3 linked regions of the Neodiprion lecontei genome follow. The protein of the gene in region 3 interacts with the protein of the main gene of each other region in a pairwise test. Links are inferred from orthologs where the notes say so. Each region holds a gene or a part of one and is shown on either strand. Other genes may lie near its edges.

The links.
Region 1: the proteins of dynamin (region 3) and E3 ubiquitin-protein ligase Su(dx) interact in binary tests that used the Caenorhabditis elegans proteins (3 or more experiments, as listed by UniProt). The link is inferred for Neodiprion lecontei from reciprocal best matches to the Caenorhabditis elegans genes dyn-1 and wwp-1.
Region 2: the proteins of dynamin (region 3) and sorting nexin lst-4 interact in a two-hybrid assay, tested with the Caenorhabditis elegans proteins (2 studies listed by BioGRID). The link is inferred for Neodiprion lecontei from reciprocal best matches to the Caenorhabditis elegans genes dyn-1 and lst-4.

Annotation. Positions count from the first base shown.
Region 1 is NC_060261.1:34,762,920-34,770,820, forward strand, and holds the start of E3 ubiquitin-protein ligase Su(dx), read left to right. Parts: upstream 1-1,899; 5' UTR 1,900-2,038; intron 2,039-2,848; 5' UTR 2,849-2,929; coding exon 2,930-2,987; intron 2,988-3,096; coding exon 3,097-3,552; intron 3,553-3,623; coding exon 3,624-4,020; intron 4,021-4,188; coding exon 4,189-4,420; intron 4,421-4,528; coding exon 4,529-4,839; intron 4,840-4,933; coding exon 4,934-5,176; intron 5,177-5,258; coding exon 5,259-5,418; intron 5,419-5,505; coding exon 5,506-5,780; intron 5,781-5,884; coding exon 5,885-6,110; intron 6,111-6,188; coding exon 6,189-6,285; intron 6,286-6,387; coding exon 6,388-6,560; 3' UTR 6,561-6,590; intron 6,591-6,709; 3' UTR 6,710-7,901. Other genes in the region: RNA-binding protein NOB1, read right to left, coding at 13-403, 506-717, 1,095-1,227, 1,468-1,539. UniProt on the Caenorhabditis elegans protein: E3 ubiquitin-protein ligase which accepts ubiquitin from an E2 ubiquitin-conjugating enzyme in the form of a thioester and then directly transfers the ubiquitin to targeted substrates. Ubiquitinates klf-1.
Region 2 is NC_060264.1:30,688,137-30,696,002, forward strand, and holds sorting nexin lst-4, read left to right. Parts: upstream 1-1,864; 5' UTR 1,865-1,986; coding exon 1,987-2,001; intron 2,002-2,422; coding exon 2,423-2,621; intron 2,622-3,709; coding exon 3,710-4,170; intron 4,171-4,498; coding exon 4,499-5,194; intron 5,195-5,276; coding exon 5,277-5,528; 3' UTR 5,529-5,550; exon of another isoform or gene 5,551-6,395; 3' UTR 6,396-7,817; downstream 7,818-7,866. UniProt on the Caenorhabditis elegans protein: Involved in the signaling of vulval development by acting as a negative regulator of epidermal growth factor receptor (EGFR) signaling. Aids in phagosomal membrane tubule formation which is required for phagosomal fusion with endosomes and lysosomes.
Region 3 is NC_060262.1:30,901,737-30,906,681, reverse strand, and holds the start of dynamin, read left to right. Parts: upstream 1-1,924; 5' UTR 1,925-2,314; coding exon 2,315-2,478; intron 2,479-4,420; coding exon 4,421-4,494; intron 4,495-4,945. Other genes in the region: serine/threonine-protein phosphatase 6 catalytic subunit, read right to left, coding at 344-449, 557-636, 963-1,170, 1,261-1,356, 1,516-1,584.

The sequences.
Region 1 (7,901 bases), on a different chromosome or scaffold from region 3:
TTCAAAACCTACGAGGTGTAATCCAACCCTCATCGTTGTCATCTTCACTTTCACTCTCTTCAATTTCTTGGTCCTCATCAGTAAACTCTTCACAATTTTCAGCTGGAAGAATATCGTCAACGTCTTTGCCATTATCCAATTCCAAATCTTCTGGATTGCATTTCAAAGCAGAAAATTTATCAGGTAAACTATCTTTCTCTATGTTTTCTAAGTCGGAGGTTGCTGTCTCATAATCAGAAATTGATGAGTATTCTGACAAATCGTCCGATTCAGAGGTAGAATCTGCGCTTCCATTTTTCAGCAAGATTACCGTGTTCAAATTATTATGCAAATCTAGTTCTTTTGTGTCTTCGTTTTGGTTAAAAGTGCAGTGTTCCACAGTTTCTTTTTCAGTACCTTGTTTCTAAATGAGATAAAAAAGCATTGGTACAACATGAAACCAAAAGTTTCGCCAATTGAAAGTGCTTGTTGTAAGTTAATTTTATTTATTCCCTGTATTGCTTACATCATTGTCAGGTAAAAAAAATCCAGCCACATTATGCGAGTAATTATCTGGGAGATTGATGCTGATATCGGGCTTTACAGGTGTTATAGGTACATCCTTCAAGTGTTGAGTTCCAACTTTTTCTTTCTCAAGCTGATAAGTTAAGGCAATCACCTTAATATCAGTTGCCGAAAGACTGCGGTAGTCTCCAGTCTTTTTAGAAAATTCGGTAACTATGGGACATACGTACGAATAATAGTGATATGACTGACAAAGCCACAACTGAATGATGTAAATAATGCCAAGTGTAAACAAGAAGGCCATATCTATTTGCACACTATTGTATTTTTTGCAAAATAACAGGTATTGGCACGATTGTTTCTACATACATACATCATATGTGTATTGTAGTTGCAGATAGTAGTGAAATATGATGATTCATATAGGACTTGATTACAAAATGCTCTAGCCATATCATTTGGCATGTTTGGAGTATCGCATATAGACATGGAAAGAGCTATAGATAGAGACATGGAAAGACACGGAGGCGTGAAAAAAGCCACGTGAAGAAATAATGAATACAAGTAGGCTGATTGTTTATTTCTCTCACCAAAATGAATGTTCTCTGGAAAGACATCTTTAATAATCAAGTCGTAAGGTAAAACAACGAGTCTTCTGAGCTGCCGCTTGTTGGTTATTTCATTAACAACATCTTGAGGAGTTATAACGTTGGCAGCGATATCCTGTTACGAAAAATTGGGAGATGAGTTTTTATCATGATATGAGAATTTTGAGCTGAAAAGTGATACGATATCAAGTAATCATAATCTTATCGGTTTAAGTTATGATAAAAAAAGAAGAGTACGAGAAAACGCATTACTAATTAGGTAACGAAGATGGCATAACCTAATTCGAGCTAGTGCAATGTAATTGAGTGTACGCAGGTGAGTGGACAACTGTACTTTATTTATTATTTATCATACCTGTATAGCTGCGTTTCTAATAAATGCACTAGTATCGACAATCAGATACTCCACTTTTGCGTCAGCCTTCATTTTTCCCAGTTTCCAATGGGAGCTTTACATGTGGCCACGCTACACGGAAAATATCACACTTCCATTAGGATATTGGGTCTTTAAATGCTTAAAACGTCTGAAACCACGGAGTGGGAACTACGCAGCTCATGTGAGTTGCTTATGTTTTACAATTACGCTAAAAAACGAGGAAATTCTAGACCCCTGTTCCTTTTGAATACACTCTGTAATAATGAAAAAAAATAAACCGCACAAATCATGACGTTACCAAATTTACGTATCCGTATAAAAATTATTAATCCATTCCCGATTTGTTAAACAATTTATTTATCTCAATTTCGTACTACTCACTTTTAGATCTGACGGACAGCAAGATGGCTGACGTCAGATAGTGAAATATCATGATAACGAATCCTCCGAGTGTTTTTCAACTCAGTTTTTGTGTCTTATAATCGACGATACCGAGCGAGCGATGTTTCAAGACTGCACGCGCCTCAGAAATTTGTTCAATACTATATAGGTTTGTATCCTTATAGTTGAAACGTCAAAACCTATCTGCAATGTATGATGAATCAACCATTCGCGAAACGTCAAGATTAATGTCCCGTATATTACTCATAATTTTCGTTTCATTTTTCTGTACCTCATTTCCTAGTCTAATGTAATACTCCCATTGTTACCAAATAGTCAGTTTACATTTCTTAATTTGTTGCTTGTAAAATAGTATTCCATTTACAGTTCGTTATATTGATTCCTCAACAATTCACACCTTTGTTTTTTATGAATTTTATTTTTGTTAATTATCTTCTCACATGATCAATCAATTGATAGCGACAACATTTACAAATTTTGCTGATCTGTTACGTACTTCATTCTTTCCTCTACGCAACTTAATTTCTATCTGCACCTAATTTATTAAATGAATTGTAATCGTCTTTGTTTTTTTGTTCTATAGTCTTACTGCGCAAACCTCAATCTGTATTCTATTGGCTACAAATATTTAAAGTTCTCTCACTTTGCCAACTAACAAACGATCTAAGCAATTTTTGACCAATTTTTTAGTCAGCAAATAATAAGACAGGAAAAGAAAGTATTCTTCTAACATATAGTTTAGTCAGTTTTGCTGAGTAACAGCTGGATCCGTGATAAGCTGAATTATAAGCTTTCTGAATCACGAAAATAGAAATATTTACAGATTGATCATTTATATTTACCTTACACCAGAGAATCTGATTCACAGAAAATATTCCTAGATCCCTTGAACCTATTGTTTTCAATGATTTTAAGTAAATTCTACACATTATACTAAATGTTCTTTTTTATTTTTCAGTTATACAATACTCTGAAAGCTGAGTTTTAATATGAATGGTATTTCAAGATTATTTTGGTGAATCACATCTAAAGGCAAACCATGTCACAGTGCGAAGTGGAAGCTGCAACTCCAGGGTTTCATCAGCTTAGCATCACTAGTAAATGATAATAGTTTTTTAAATTTTGCATCCACTATGATCAAGTTCTACCTCATCTACTTATCTTAAAAACATGTTGATTTCCAAGATATATTAATTTTCATTTCAGTTGAAGCAGCCGTATTGCGCAATTCGTCATTTCTGAAACCTAATCCTTACGTTGAACTCTCAGTTGATGACAAGAGTCCTCGCAAAACTGAGATTGCAAAATCCACATATCAGCCAAAATGGGTGGAAAAGTTTACCATTCTTGTAACACCTTACTCCCAGCTGCATTTTAGACTCTTGGATCACAGCACCTTTCGTAGGGATGCATTGATTGGTGAAAAGAGAATTAATTTGTTTCAAGTTTTGTCCTACTACAATGGAAAATTGGATAATGTTGAATTAACTTTGGATTTAATGAGCGAAAATAAACACGATGCTTATGGTCCACTATCAAAGGTTGGAGAGTTGGTAACATTATTTGACGGACTAAAAATTGATATGAACGAAGTCATACCCTCTAATTCCTGCGAACAAGTTCGCCACAATCAAGTTACAAGCGGTGCCCTGACGCCACTTGGTAAGGCCTTAAATCTCAGAGATATTTTTTCGCATTAGCTGAAATGTTGATCGAACATTTTTTATTTCTAGGTTCTTCAAACAGTGACTCTGGGAACAATCGAAGTATTCTAAATGGTGGTGTGAGAGCTCGCATGCGATTACACGGATCAGAGAATGCAGCACCTTCCGTCATGCAGCCAGTTATGCATCGAAGTTCAACCAACATTCTTCACAATCCTAGTCACACTGCAAGTCAACCCAGTAATAATACCAACAATGCTCAAATTGTTGGCCTTACCTCTCCTATGGCTAATGGAGTTGGTAATCATTTGGCTACTGAAAGTAGCAGTGGATCAACAGGGCCCCCACTGGGTCAACCAGCATCTGCTGGACCATCTGGAGTACCCGGGGAGACTGAAAATGGTAATCAGCCTGAAGAACCTTTGCCTGCTGGTTGGGAAATGAGATATGACGTCTATGGCAGAAGGTAAATTATGGATTGTCATTTAATTAAAAAGGTTCGTTTGTTTCTGGCGATTTTACAACCATTCTTGTACAGAATATCTGAATCATTGAGTATCTAAAGAGAAATATACTGCTATAAATTTGAAGATTGACGAACTATTTCAGTTTTTTTAGTTTTTTATCGTTCCAGGTATTATGTAGATCACAACACTCGCAGTACATCCTGGGAAAGGCCACAGCCACTCCCACCAGGCTGGGAAGTACGAAGGGATCCTCGAGGGAGAATTTATTATGTAGATCACAATACAAGAAGTACTACTTGGCAACGCCCCAACACAGAGAGGCTACAGCATTTCCAGCACTGGCAGGGAGAACGGCAACATGTTGTCCAACAAGGAAATCAAAGATTCCTCTACCCTCAGGTGATCACCAACTGAAAAAATTGGAGAAAATTTCGTCATTGAAGATGAATTTTTTTTCAGAACAACCAAAAATCTTTTTATTCTTATCTTCTGCACATTTTTTTAAAGGCTCATGGTGGACAAGCAGCAGTGGCTGGTCTTTCAACGGCAGTCGTTGAAGAAGATGATGCTCTAGGGCCCCTGCCAGCTGGTTGGGAGAGACGCAAACAGCCCGAAGGCAGAGTTTACTATGTGAATCATAAAAATCGAACAACTCAATGGGAGGATCCAAGAACGCAAGGACAAGAAACAGGAATGGACGAACCACCCTTACCTGATGGATGGGAGATTAGATTAACTGAAGATGGAGTCCGGTATTTTGTGGACCATAATTCGAGAACTACAACATTCCAAGATCCAAGACCAGGAGCGCCGAAAGGGTATGTGAAAGTTTTGAGAATTTCGGTTTAATCGTAAATTGAGTCTAAATTACTCCAAGTACCATAATACATATTTTGGTCACCTTCTTTACAGGCCGAAGGGTGTCTATGGGGTTCCAAAGGCATATGAGCGATCTTTTCGCTGGAAATTATCACAATTCAGATATTTATGCCACAGTAATGCTCTTCCTAGTCATATAAAGATCAGCGTTACCCGACAAACTTTGTTCGAAGATTCTTATCACCAAATCATGAGACTGCCGGCTTATGAGCTCAGACGACGATTGTACATTATATTCAAGGGTGAAGAGGGCTTAGACTATGGCGGAGTATCAAGGTAAAAAATTATGGTTAATCAATTTTCAACCAATTTAAATATTATTCCATGTTTAATGATTGGATCTTTTTCCTCATAACAGGGAATGGTTTTTCTTACTGAGTCATGAGGTATTGAATCCAATGTATTGTCTCTTTGAGTATGCAAACAAAAGCAACTACAGTTTACAAATAAATCCGGCATCGTACGTGAATCCAGACCACCTACAGTATTTCAAATTCATCGGCAGGTTCATTGCAATGGTATGTTAGGATTATTAATATATTTTGAATTACGAGAACAAGTAATCAAGATCTTTAATCAATTTTCCCCATTTTTTGCATTACCAGGCTCTTTACCATGGACGTTTTATCTACAGTGGATTCACAATGCCTTTTTACAAACGAATGTTGAATAAGAAATTGATCATGAAGGATATTGAGTCTATAGATCCGGAATTTTACAATTCACTTGTATGGATAAAAGATAATAACATAGATGATTGCGGTCTCGAATTGTATTACAGCGTCGATTTCGAGATTCTTGGTCAAGTCATACATCATGAACTTAAAGATGGTGGTGATAAAATTCGAGTTGTTGAAGAAAATAAGGAAGAGTATATGAGGTAAAGTTATCGCATTACACCTTTTGCTACACACATACATGTAAAGAAATAATAAAATATAAGAATAATAAATAATAATAAAAATAAAATGCTCGCATTTCCAGACTGATGACAGAATGGCGAATGACGAGAGGTATCGAGGAACAAACTAAAGCTTTCCTCGAAGGATTTAATGAGGTTGTGCCTCTAGAATGGCTAAAATATTTCGATGAGCGAGAACTCGAGCTCATGCTCTGTGGCATGCAAGAAATAGATGTCGATGACTGGCAACGCAACGCTATTTACAGGCACTACACGCGCAGCAGTAAACAAGTACTATGGTTTTGGCAGGTACTTTGAAACGATAAATTATTAAGGAAACTGAAATTACCTCAATTTTTACGATTATTGTAAATTAAATCTTTTCAGTTTGTACGGACAACTGACAGCGAAAAACGAGCTAGACTGCTACAGTTCGTCACAGGAACATGTCGTGTACCAGTTGGTGGATTTGCCGAATTGATGGGTATGTTGTGAAAAATGTTTTAATCAGCTGAATGAATGTAAAATAGCAACACTGCAGTGTTATCGAATCCTTGAAATTGATAGAGAACATTATTCATTTCAGGGAGCAATGGACCACAAAGATTTTGCATAGAAAAGGTGGGTAAAGATACTTGGTTACCGAGGTCACATACGTGTTTCAACAGGCTGGATCTTCCGCCCTATAAAAGTTATGATCAAATGGTGGAGAAGCTGAACTATGCGATCGAAGAAACAGAGGGCTTTGGTCAGGAATGACCAGTTGCAGTTGCTTTAAAACGAGAACTGGTAAATCAGTTTTTAATTTTTAATCTATCATGTTTGAAATTTCTAAGATCTTCTGAAAAATGTTCAAATAGTGAATTTATTATGTGCTAAGCGTCTTACTTTTTTTTTCATATTTTCAGAATGAAGTCAAACTGCACCAGAGTGTAATGCACTTTTAAGAACCAAACTTTAATGTTGTATAAATATTTCATCATATTAATAGTTAATTATATACATCAGAAACTCTATAGTCCTTATGCAAGGTGAGTGGAATTGAACAACTCTTCTATTTTACTGTGCCTTTGATGGTGCTGAAAGGTCTGGATAGAAATATTTTTTCTTGCACGTATAATTATCGTATTTTTTATACTAAAATACATATGCATACAAAATCATGGGATTAATTCTTACATAATAGTCCGAGGACTGTAAGAATTTCTGCATCTTTACCACATAAGATATTTTTGAAAAATTATTTCTTGTTATTTGCTCAAAATCATGTTATTTCAAATCTTTTCAACTTATACTCTTTACCTTTTACTTTTAATCTGCCCTAGATTAGAGAAACTGTGATTCTAGAGACTGGTCTAAACTTTTCTACAATCGTTGCATTTTGACTATAGATCATTTGGAAATAAAATACATAGCTGTGGTAGCCAAAATTTGGCGCGATTTGTCTCAAGTTAGAGTACTTGGGAGACATTGCCAAATGCTGAGGGATTGTGATTGGTTCATGTAGAAATTGTCAAAAATCGAGAAAAATAACAAAATTTCAAATACAATTGGTGTGATTGTTCTGATCTTCAAAAAGAAAGTAAAAAGGACCTCAAAATAAAAGTAGTATAATTTCTTCATAACCCTACTCAGAATTGCATTCCAATGAATCAGTAAGGCATAAGAATTTTCGATAAACTAAAAATTATATATCTTCGGTAATTGAAAGGTAATAAAATATGAGAACGCTAGTGAAATTCAGTATTTGACGCTTTCTATATCTCACCAATCCAAAGTATAGATTCCTCGTGATGATAATAAATATTGTACATAATTGAACTACACACAATAATTTGTGGCATATATTAAAGCCGTTGACAAGCAATGCTTTTAAAGAAATAGTTATCTACTGTATAAAAAGATTTTAATTCATATAAAAGAACCACGTTACTTTAAGAACAAAATAGCAAAAACGAACCTACAAACTATTTCAACACTGATGGCAACAAATAGTTGATGATTTGCTTGACTGTTGAGTTGCAAACAGGCAGATAGAAATTGAACATAAATTCGTCGCTTGTTCACGATAATATGGTATATATTATATATATATATAGA
Region 2 (7,866 bases), on a different chromosome or scaffold from region 3:
ATTGACCACTTCCACGGGGTCAGCTAACGTTTCCATGGACAATCTGGCGATGGGTGAGTCTCGCATGTGATTCTTTTAATCTTATTGCTAATATCCTAAAGCCTCCCGTCTATAATATATTAAATCACCCGTCTCATATTTTACACTTTTGAGCGACCGAAATTTGGAATTTATATATCTTCTCTTAGTAATCGTGCTCTATGCGGGTTGATTTTATGGATAGTATAAAACTGTAACTGGCAGCCATTATCAGCCGAATGTTGCTTGACTAGTTCAGTAAAACAAAAGAGTGAAACCTGACGGTTGAAATTTTATCATGTTGAAGTTAGTAACGTTACTGCAACGATTCATGTTGAGGAAAAACCGTTATTTCGTAATTTTCGAACTGTTCAAAATTCAGCAAACCGTAATAAAACGAAATATTCTCATATTTTTTAATCCTAGTTCCCTCAAAATCACTAAAAATGAGAAAATAGTCATTTTTTCTCAACGTTTCGTTACCATAACGATACTACCTTCAACCTCGTGAAATTTTAACGAATTTCATAGAATGTTAATACGATCATACTGTGAGGATATCTTGAAAGTTAACACTCGGTCACCGCCGACTCGGCACCACTCACGTTCTTCGTCTGTTTTTTTGCAGGCTGGCCATCCCATATTCAATTTTAAACTGCGAAAGGCCGAAAATCGAAAAAATTCCTTAAACCTCATCACATTAGGTGTGATCACCCATAAAAATTTCCATGGAATCAAAAACTCAAATTCATGGACGATTTGACAGGAAATGCCCCATACATAAAACGAAAACATAATCGTCGTCGTCGTCGATGCAATTATTTTTTGGTCTTTCGCAGTTTAAAATTGAATATGGGATGGCCAGCCTGCGAAAAACAGATGATGAACGTGAGTGGTGCCGAGTCGGCGTTGACCGAGTGTTAACTTCCAAGATATTCTCTTAGTATATTGAATAATAGGCCTAAAATTGTGTAATAACACTATTAAAAAAAAGTTGAGTAAGTTTGATTGCTTATTCACGATGCTATCTCCTTCTTTTCACCGATACTGTTATCAAAAGTACAGGGGCCGGAAATTGCATTAACAACACGATTCCCGCATTTGTCCGCAATTGTTCAAACTACAAAACAATTACTTGTAAAGTTTCATAACGCCTTATGCGCGTGGACTTGGGCCGTGTTTGTAAATTGACTGCCAGTACTGAAAATTCCCTAGGACAGAAACAGAGCTTTCCATGAACTCGGCAGCGCAAAAGAGATGAAAGATTGCTGACAGTACTGTCAGTCAATTTTCGAATACGGCCTTAATATAGCTTCGTTCCGAGACTACCTGGAATTTTGGGCATCCCCGCGATGAGCCCGTTCTTGAATGCTTCTATAATTCGTGGTTGAAGAAAAGTTTATTTAGTTCATGGTTGGGCAAAAGCTCACATGCCTGAAATACTCGCGTGATTAGTCCTCGTTAGGAAAAGATTTTAGTATTACGTGTGAGAGTGAAATTGCCAATGCAAGTGATTGAATAATTTGAATTAAGACTAAGACGAAATAATATTTTTCCAAATATATTTTCACAATTTGAGAAATCGACCGCCGGCACATCAGCGCCACTCAGCGGAGGGTGTTATTGTCACGTCTTGATGTGTTTATATAGTTTCGGGTAGGCAAGCATGCGTAATAATACACGTATCACATTGCATATACGTATGTGTGTATGTACTTATACATATAGTTGAGTGGGAGCAGTTATAGGTAAGTATACATACCATCTCCGTAAAACAAGTTGATTACAAGTGAACCGTGAGCCAACCAACGTCGCGACACGTTACGATGATCGAATTGTCATTAGATTAGATAGTCATGTTGGCAAAGTGCGACTGATATAATCGGTCTGGCGAATAAAAAACGCCGCGAAAACATTTTATCAACTCGTTTCAACTGACGTTTAAGAGGTTCTGGTGACACTAGCAACATGGAGGGTCATCAGGTGAGTATTTGGATTAAGAAAAAAAAGACTAAGGAAGCAGAGAAAGTGAAATGCACACACATGCAACATACTGCACTCTGTTCGTACTATGAATAACCGGATTAATCCTTGCCTCTATGACTCATTGTGCTCATCTGTTCGTTTTTGTTTCACAAAGATTACAAAAAGGATATTTTGTTCTAGATTTTTCTCTCTTTCTTTCTAACACATTGTTAATCTCGATAATTGTGGTTTGAACAACATTCAAAAGAAAGCAATGCAGTAAATTTTCTACTCTTTGTCATTCACTAATCCACTTGTTTCGATTGTTCTTTTTACATCTATCGCTTCCATTGTCGTTTCGATTCATATTTTCCTAGCATTGTAAAAACACAATTATTCAAATGCTGCTTTTCTTTATTTGTGCAATTATCCCGCGTAGGTACAAGCCCTGTATGACTTTACTGGAGAGCCAGGGACTGCCGAGCTCTCCATCAATGCTGGCCAAATTTTAACCGTCATCAGAGCTAACGTTGGAGATGGATGGTGCGAGGGCGTTAATCAGAGTGGAAAGTCTGGACTCTTTCCGGCTGCTTATGTACAGCCTGTTGATCCCAATGCTTCCGCGCCTCCTATGACAGGTACAAAACATGTACTCTACTCGCAACAAATTGACTTGAATCGATTTAGAACAGTTGAAATGTGTAAAAGTTGAGGCAATGTTATCAAAAGTTTGACTGGATTGCGATCAACTGTTGCAAATTACTAAAGTTGAACATAAACCATGATTTAAAATGTTGGTGGGATGTACAATTCAAAGCATTGTGAACGAAGAAACTGATGAATCATTCTTTGGTCATACAGTATTAATTCGTTTGAAATACTTATTCATGGTGGCCACGGTCAGGGAAAACCGGGAAATGTCAGGGGAAAAAAGTTGGTCTGGGAATCATGGAAATGACGGGGAATTTCAAATTTGTTCAGTGGTCAAAAAAAGATGACCAAACATCTAATAAATGGCACGAAAGGAAATTAAAAAATTCTTAATTTCGTTCATTATTTCAAAACATGTATGGCAATCACACATGACAGAAGTGAAACTTTTCAGAGTTATAAACAGAACCGCACAGCATGTATGATACATATATGTATGATATATATATTTCGATGTGTTTTCATGTGATTTTTCTTGACGTTGTTGAATTTCCTGATGAATTTATATTGAACTGAAACGAAGAATTGGGGATTCGTAGAACTATCGAAGACAATAAGAACTTGAGTCAGGGAAAATTGAACAACTGTTCAAGGAAGGTCAGGGAATTTATTTCCGAGAACAAATTCCACCATGTTATTCATTTAGTTTCTGAGTAAATTGTATTCTAAATAGTTGTTTCACATTCCGCATGTCGGTGTTGATTGAAAGTTTAAATTGGATTATCTGATAAAATGCCTTTAGTAATGCTTCTGTCGATTGAAATATTTTTCTGATAAATTCTCGGCAGCTGTGTCATTGTGGCTTGTAATTCCATACCAGTCGTTATCACGAAAGTATCACGCGAAGCAGTCGAGTTGGTTATTCTCTCTTTGTCTGAAATAACCGCACTGAGAACTTGATTTAAATAACTATGACATTCGCATTAACTGAGCGTCGTTTATGGGGATGAAATATAGAGTACGTGAATTCAAAAGGAAAATGTAGCGTATGAAGATTTGGTACAAATTATTTCAGGCAGTACAACGTCGTCGCAACAGGGTACGGGGGATTATTGGGATGACGATTGGGACGATGACTCGGAAGCTGGTCACGATACGCCAGCTCCTGTCAATCAACAACAGCATCATCTACAACAGGCTGTACAACCGTCGTCGCAACCGGTATATCCGGATTACGCGGATTCAATTTCAACGCATACGGTTCACTCAGTCATATCGGAAAGACCGATATCTAACGTCCCTAAAAAGAATACAAAATTTTCAACCCTCATCAAGTCGGGGGAAGACAGTTTTTTAATGGGAACAAAAATAGTCGTTGTACCTGATAACGAGAGAGTGTTTATAGAGGAAAATGAAGAGAGACGATGTGTGTGGGTGCCGGCTATAGATACGTACAATTGCGTCGTTACTTCACCTAAGAAAGAGTCTAAGCTCAAGGGACTCAAAAGCTTCATTGTTTACCAGTTGACACCGACGGTACGAAAGCTAATTTGTTCGATATGAATGTATGGTCAAATTTTTTGTCTCCAATATTATGGATCACTTTCGTTTGGTTACAGAAAAAATTTCAGTATTGGTAGCAAGTTGGACTTTGCGTAATTTATTTATGTATTTATTTATTTATTTATTTATTTATTTATTTATTTTACTACAACAACACTTGGGGCATTTTATTATTTTTCTCGAAATTTTGTGGTGCTAAAAAAGCTCAATTCAAGTTACATTCATTGGGATAACAGTGGAAAAAAAAAAAAAAAAAAATTGACAAACCTGAAGGGAAAATAAACTTTCGTTTCAATTGCAGTTTAACAATATACAAGTGTCGAGGAGATACAAGCACTTCGATTGGTTACACGAAAGACTGGAAGAAAAATACTGCTTTATTCCAATACCGCCATTGCCGGATAAACAAATATCCGGTCGTTACGAGGAACAGTTTATAGAGCATCGTAGAACTCAGCTTCAAGAATTTGTCGATTACGTTTGTAGACATCCGGTTTTATGTCGCAGTCGAGTATGGGAACATTTTATGACTTGCACAGACGAGAAACGATGGAAGGCTGGAAAACGGCAGGCGGAAAAAGACGAACTGTTGGGAGTGAATTACTTCAACGTACTTCAGTGTCCGGACACACCTTTGGATCCGGTTAAAGTCGACATAGAGAATGACGCTTTTGCCAAATTTATCAACGGACTTGATCCGGTCGTTAAAAACTTTATGGCAATGGCTGTTGACCAGTCAAAGAAACACCAGGTTTTGTACAAGAGAGAATTTCAGAAAATTGCCCAGTCTTTTACATCCTTAGGTTTTGCTCTTGACGCCGACGATAATAGTAGAGGTATACTGAATTCCGCTTTAAAAGTAACGGGAGATGCTTACAACGAAATTGGAAAATTGTACGAGGAACAACCGAAATTTGACTGGGAACCGCTTGGCGATAAATTTCATATTTATAGAGGAATAATTAGCAGTTTCCCCGACGTTATTAGCATACACAAGGTGAGTTAGGAGTCAAGTTTTTCCTCTTTTTCTTCCTTTTGTTACTCGAATTTTGGTAATTCTTGATAACGTCATCACACAGAGCGCCGTACAGAAGCGAAAGGATTCGGAGAGGCTAGTCAGCGAGCATAAAATGGAGCCGCAACAATTACGAGAACTTTCGCATCGAACCGACGTAATAGCCAGAGCTCTGATGGCAGAGGAAACACATTTTCAAATGGAACGCGAGGTCCACATCAAACAAGCTATGAAAAATCATCTAACCGAGCAGATCGCTTTTTATAAAAAAATTGTCAACAAATTGCAGGAAGCGTTGAATGCTTACGACGGTTGAAAATTAAATTGAACAGCAAGAGGTACTAACGCTCATAATCTCTGTACGCATAAGCAATAACACGATTCATTTCTCTCGTACTAGTTGAACTTTTGTTCATTCGCTTTTTGTCGGACTCGTCAAAATGGGGAAAAATTTAATTTCGTCATGTCCGTACTAATAAATTTATACAAATTCTAATAACGATTTCGAAACTTTTTCCATCGTTACATTTAACGTTCGGTGAGTTACGCGTCTGGAAAGCATGTGAGAGAGTAAAAAGTATCTAAAAAATAAAATGCTTACCTTGTTATTATAGATTCCTATACGTCACTTGCCGTTACATGCGTTATGAATGATTGTTGACCTGTAAATAATTAGCTAAATCTATCCGACTGTAATCGTACGTTGCTAACATCGGTACTTGTATAGTTTAGTATATTCACCTTTTTTTTTTTTTTACCCCGATTCGTCCAATTGCTACAGGGGCCAAAACTTCGTAAAACAACATAACGTGTTGTATATATGTACAACTTTTCGATGTTGAATATTTTGATATGATAAATTGAATGCATTTACGTCAAATAGCATTTATATAGAACTTACGCTTATGGGTGATTTTTTTTTTTTCCTTGATCCTTCAATTGCATTCTTGTTTACCTTTCGTTAAATCAATATTTCGGATATAATTATTGATTATATTCGAAAGGTGCTCCAACTTTGACGTTCAAAGTTAATGAATCATTTAATCTATGGCATCTTTTGTGTGTGTGTGTGTGTGTGTGTGTGGCTAGGGTGGTCATTAAAAAAAATTATTTTTGAACTGCGACGGTCTCACCTCCTAAATTGGCTCCAAATAATTCACCAACGATTCTCTAATTGTTTCAGAGTTTTATCTCAACTTTAACCTGCGCCGCCAGAGAGTCGATTTTCCCATTTAACCCTTTTCAAGGGAACAGTAAAACTGCCAAACAGATTTTGATGAAATTTGATGGAGGAGGGTTTCTTGGATCGCTGATTACGTATGATGACTCGAAATTTAAAGATTTCAAAATCTGAAAAAATTTGGGAATTATTTTTGAATCCTTTGGAGCCGATTCGGTGGTTGAGACATTCGAAATTCATAAATTAGTTTTTCAAGAACCATTCTAGTGTGTATGTTATGTATCATCGTATTAGTGCGCCCGTGTGTCCGCGTATATACATATACAAATACCTTTTACAATTGAAATTTTGACAATTTACAACACGAGGTCGGTATGATATTTATTTCAGTATCGCACGAGTAACGATTATCAATGTTATTAATATTATTATTATTATTATTATTATTCTTATTGTATAATTTTCTCTTCAAAAACCAAATTCTAACTGGAAAATCGTAATCCGTATAAATAGGTATACTTATCCGTATATTATATTTATATATTTATATTCGTAGGTACGAATATTTCATCTGGAATATACATTACCTTGTGCATATTACTAGTATTTATTATTATTATTATTATTATTTTTTTATTTTTTTTTTATTTTTTTTTTATTTTACGATTTTGGGAGATCCAAAATTAACAATTTTTCTATCGGAGGGAATAACCGATTCTTGAAAATTGATTTATACGACGCGTAACAAATATTCCAAGTTTTAGTGAAAAAATTATTTTCCGCATTATTCACACAGTCAATGAATTGAGAAGGTCTGAAATAAAATATTAATATAATGAAAGATAGAAACTGTGATATGCGGTAATCGGAGTGGTTCAAAATCACATTATTAGTTGAAAATATAGTAACCAAGATTCGATTTCGATTTCACAAAAGTTCATCGTAACATCAAAATTGACCAAATAATTTGATGCGAAAAATTTATTGTGTAAAATTCCATGTTCGTGGCGATAATAATTAGATGGACTGTAAAATTATGTCAATACGAATTTATCTTCTCGCACATATATGTGTAAATTATGTATCGAAACAGTGAAGCATTTTGTATATGTATATAATATTTATAAACATCTGTAAACTCAAAAACACTATACACAATTAATTTTATAAATTGTATGTCATATGTCATTTGGATGAAGATTGTTCCATGTTGTTATGCGAACGAATCGATCTTTAATAAACTTGTATTATATTACAATTTCTATATTCGTTTAAACTTTTACCTACTCGAGGACGATTTTTGCCGTCATTTTTATTATGCCCTGCGGGTTTTATTTTTCTCTCGCATAAAATTTGCTCTGACTGTTTTCGCGAAAATAGTGATACTAGTGAAAATAGTGAAAATAGTGAACAATAGTTAGTAATCGATCGATTGAAAAATTTGGTGAGAAACATAATGCACTGCGACTCCTGG
Region 3 (4,945 bases):
CTGCAAGTAAATAAAGAATGAGAAAATATCAATCGAGTTGGCCACATACGAAGTTGAAACTGACAGTCAAATTTGGCAGGCAATCGAACCAAAACTTTTCTTATATAGAGGAAAGCAGTACACTTTTGTGTTTATAAATTTATTTAAATGTTGGCATTCCATGAGCTTTGACAAGATTTCGGCAACGAACTTCACCCACCAGTTTCAAAAGTGCAAAGCTGAGTAACTTAATGCTTACTGGAAGTTTTCAGGATAGCGTTCCTAATCATTACATAATATTTTTGATGGATATAATATTTACTCAAATTGTTATACGATAGACTTGATTTATAGTTGTTCATACCTTTATGTGGGATTTCTTGATTTCTTTCAATTGTCCTAATTTGATCTAGAGTCCTAATAGCTGGTGACAAACCACCATGAACACAGAGCACTTGTTCGTCAATTAACTAGAAGAAAAAATTTCGTTGAAATAAATTATTACGTATCTAGTATTTTCAGTTTTTACTACTTTTGTACTGAAAATCATGGTGCATTAATGTATAAATATACTCACAGCAGCTACTGTAAGAAGATCGAATACTCTGCAGCAGTACTTCCACGCATTTGCATTTCCATACTTATTGTGACACTCATCTGTGAAGGAAAGAGAATTCTGGAGTCAAATTCCAAAAAAGTTTGGGGGCAGGCAACCTGAATAACTTATAAAGCTGACATTTAACTCCCATGCTCGTCAAACTAAATTTTGCATGTAAACATTATGTGATTTCCTTCCAGTAGCGAAAGAAGCGTAAGGCTTGAAAGAAAAGCAAATCAAACAGATACTAAAACGAAAATCAACCGCATGCTCGCAGCGTGAAAACTTGCTAATTATATTTTGGGCTTCAGATCCATCCTAACGTATAGCCAAAGCTCTGAGATTACTGGATCCTACAATGGTAAATAGAAGAGCACATGGTTACCGTAAAATCCATAAACTTGTGTGATTTGGCGCGATTCATGATTTCCTCGTAATAGCGTTATCCTGTCTGACCATTTGGCCTTTAGTGTTAGCAGACGGGTAAATGTTTCTAAGCTGTAATATCCTCTATCGACAAAATCTCCCATAAATATGTAATTTGTATCAGGTACTGGGCCTCCGCTCCGAAACAACTCCTCCAGGTCGTAGAACTGACATGAAAGACGCACAAATATTATGGGATATGCATCAACAAGTACTGCCCTAAAGTTTTGAGGTTATATTGGGTCGCAGTAGCTCACCTGTCCGTGAATATCACCGCATACGGTTACTGGAGTCGATACTGGCTGGATATTGGATTCTTCGAGGAGCAAATCGCAAACCATGTCACACAATTTCTGTATAAACAGGTAAAAGTACAAGTTAAATTATTCAAAGATAATACTTCGGGAAATGTAACCTAAAATATTTTCATGAAAATTGGTATTTCGAAAGTACGGCGAGAGATTATACGAGCAGTAAATATTTATTTATCGTCAATGAAATGCGCTCATTACCTTGAGGTCATTTTCTGGTAGGTATTTGCACTCTTTTGCAATATCAATCCATTTATCGATGTCTGACATTTTGGATTCGTAATGTCGCGGAAATAGCGGGTCTGCCCTGTCACCTATCTGTGGAACAGGGTACTTGTGACTGGCTTATCGCTATATATTCCGGAAGAAAGAGCGCGCTGCTTAAAAAATATCATATTTATTAATTAAAAATTTCACCGACTCCGGGTAATTTTGTGGATAACTGTTTGATTGAAAAACTGTATAAAACGTGTCTTTTAACGCTGGTAAATACCCCTGTCAACGAAACGCTATTCACTACGTCGTTATCTGTATAGATTTTCTTTCCGTTTCTAAAACTGGGTCAGAAACTCGGCGGCACTGCGCAAGCTTCGATTATCGATTATAACGTTAACGTCCAGAATCTTGATGCTGGATCTCATTTGCGTGATCGCGGCGTAGGGCACTCGCAGTGTTGCTGTTCTGTCCGTTTTCTTACGGAACTTTGCTGAAACGCGCGTTTCTCGCTCGCAGAATCGGGCTCCGGGTATTAAAAATGCGGTGAAAACACTCGGGTTCGGAGTTCGAATCGGCTCAAGGAATATCGTGGGCCCAGCCATTTTGCTCTATCGAGAGAGAGACGAGCAGTGTGAGAGACAGTTCTGACCGCTCTACTGCTACCCTGTCGGACGGAGGTGGTGGTCGCGGCTCCGTGCTGATACGCTTTTATTCTGTTTTCCAGTGTCGTTGAATAGCTCTTGTTGCTCGAGGAAGTGCCGACGATAACTTAAAATTAACCAAAATGTCAGGCAATACGGGAATGGAACAGTTGATACCAATTGTAAATAAGCTTCAAGATGCGTTCACTCAGCTCGGAGTGCACATGCAACTCGACCTGCCACAGATCGCTGTTGTGGGCGGACAAAGTGCTGGCAAGAGTTCCGTTCTGGAAAATTTTGTCGGCAGGTAAGTTCGATCCTTCCATCCATCAACGCCCCGAAATTATCGACGAATCCATGCTAATTTTTTTTATCGTTATTCTTAACCTATTTGCTCCGATACAACGCAAGGCGTGGCAAATTACCAAGCCGACCTTAAACGTCCCGTCAATATAATAATACCGTCGATGCTGGGAATTAACGATACGTCAACGCGTTTGACAGTTGGGAAATTTCAAACGTACGGGTCGCCAGGGTCAATAACGAAATTCCCCGGTCGCCCACTCGCCTCGAGTGACACCCTGTATCAAGTTCCTTCGCGAATATTTAGTCCAGACTCTAATTCTCTATTCTAAAGTCTCAATCGTCCCGATGATCTAACAATTGATAATATGAGTCAGCCTGTTTTCACGCTATCTTTCACCCGTTATTCCAAATGAAAGTTGGCTTGAGAAACACGCGACTTTTGTACGGTAACAAAAGAAAAAGAGCTAGATGTAAAAATGGCAAACAATTGAACAAATAAACGACATGCGACACCGATGAAGAAAGATCCAACCTCAAGACCACTTTCAAATTGTATATTGATTGGAAAAAAATTAGACTCAACAGTGCTGACATGTGCAGAAAAATAAATCTACAAAAAGAAAAAAATTTTCTTGGGTCTCTTTTCCGAATTTTATCTCAGTGCCCAAATTTGGTTACAATTTTTACGATTTTCCACGATATATTATCCATGCCATAAGATTTCTTGAAATTTTTTGCTAGTCAATTGTCTTTCTGATTAAAGATTTGTCGATGTAGCATAAATTCAATAAAAATTGGATCATTCTCAAACAAAGGTGTCTTCGTAAGTGGAGTCATGAATCAATGATAACTTCAAATTAGTTTCTACTTTGCTTGATTGTGTATTTCAAACTATACAGTTGTTTTTTGTAATGTAGAATTACTTTATTGAATATCGATTTTCTAATCAGTCTTTCGTTAACGATTCATACATAAACGCTTATTGAAAGAAATTGTGCTTTGTGAAGAATAATTATTTCCACAGTAAATAAATAAGACTGATACGAGCCCAGATAAAGAATCACCCTATATTGGCATTTGCAATTTTCCTAACAGATCAATACAGCGTCATATTTCAATATTTTCCAAAATTTAAGATTGCCAAATGCTTCTTTCACCCAAATTTTTGTAGAAATTTTGTTATTGGTGAAGAATTATCACTCTACTTTAGAGTAATTGTATAAAGAAGCTGTAACACAAGTATTTCCCGTTACGAAGTGCTTTTTGAAAATATTCGAGCCTCGTGTTATTGTTCATCTCTGCATACGAAATTAAAACACAATTGCAGCTACCGTGAACTTTGCTAAATGCAATTTTCATTCATTTAGCAAAGAATGTCACAGCAGTTAGCCCAATGATTCATACTGCGTGAGTAAAAAAGAGGATTCACTTGTCTCTTCTAAGCACACGCACATGTTACAGTCAACTCGAATTGTTTTTGCCACCACAAAGAATCTTTTGTCAAGATATAATTCATCAAACCAGAACTCTGAACTAAGTTTTAATCTAACCATAAAAAAAGAATTTTATTTTACCTAAAGACCTGGGGGCTTATTCTCCAACCTTGCAGCTACGTAATCGCAGAATTCATCCCGACAAAATAATTGCAGCTAAAATAACTAAAAAAATAGGGAATCGTGCCTATCTGTTACCTGTGTGTTCAAATCTGTCATGACAATAGATAAACAACGTCGAAATTTCAAAATACGAATAACGTTATTGTAGAATCAAACTACCCATTAGCTCTTTCCGATAGAACCGCAAATATTTCTGTGGGTATGCGTTACTTCAAAGATAGAGAATAAGCCTGCGGAGCGTTTTTTAAGAATAAAATTCTGCAATAAAATTACCTTTAATGTATTGATCTTAGCAATCATATGTTAACGTATATGTTTTTTTCACAGAGATTTCTTGCCAAGAGGATCAGGCATTGTAACAAGAAGACCACTTATTCTCCAGCTGATCAATAGCTCTACTGGTAAGTTCAATTTTTTACTCAACATCTGGTTATAAATCATCAACATTTGTTGGTTCATTATCTCGTTTTCTTCCAAAAACCGAATACTATTCATACTAGGAAACTTGTAAATGCAGAACGATGCATTGTATTTTGATTCGATTGTTCTACTTTTTTTTCATGTAATTACGAATAGTTCACATTTTTGAGAAATATTGTTCTTTTCATCAAGGATCCATGAGCAATTCTTGCTGCAGTATTCTTGTCTTGATTGTAGAGAAAAAAAATTGTTACCAAAAAGTGATGAGCATAGCTACATGAGGGAAGTGTAGGCCCAGTATTGATTCTCATCCCCTTTCCTCCCACTCTCCTCTTTTACTCAGCTCCGGCTGATATGCATGGCCAAACCAACAGCTAGTCATTAGAATATAGTATCAGTTTGAACTTTGATTTAATAAATGATAGCTTTCGA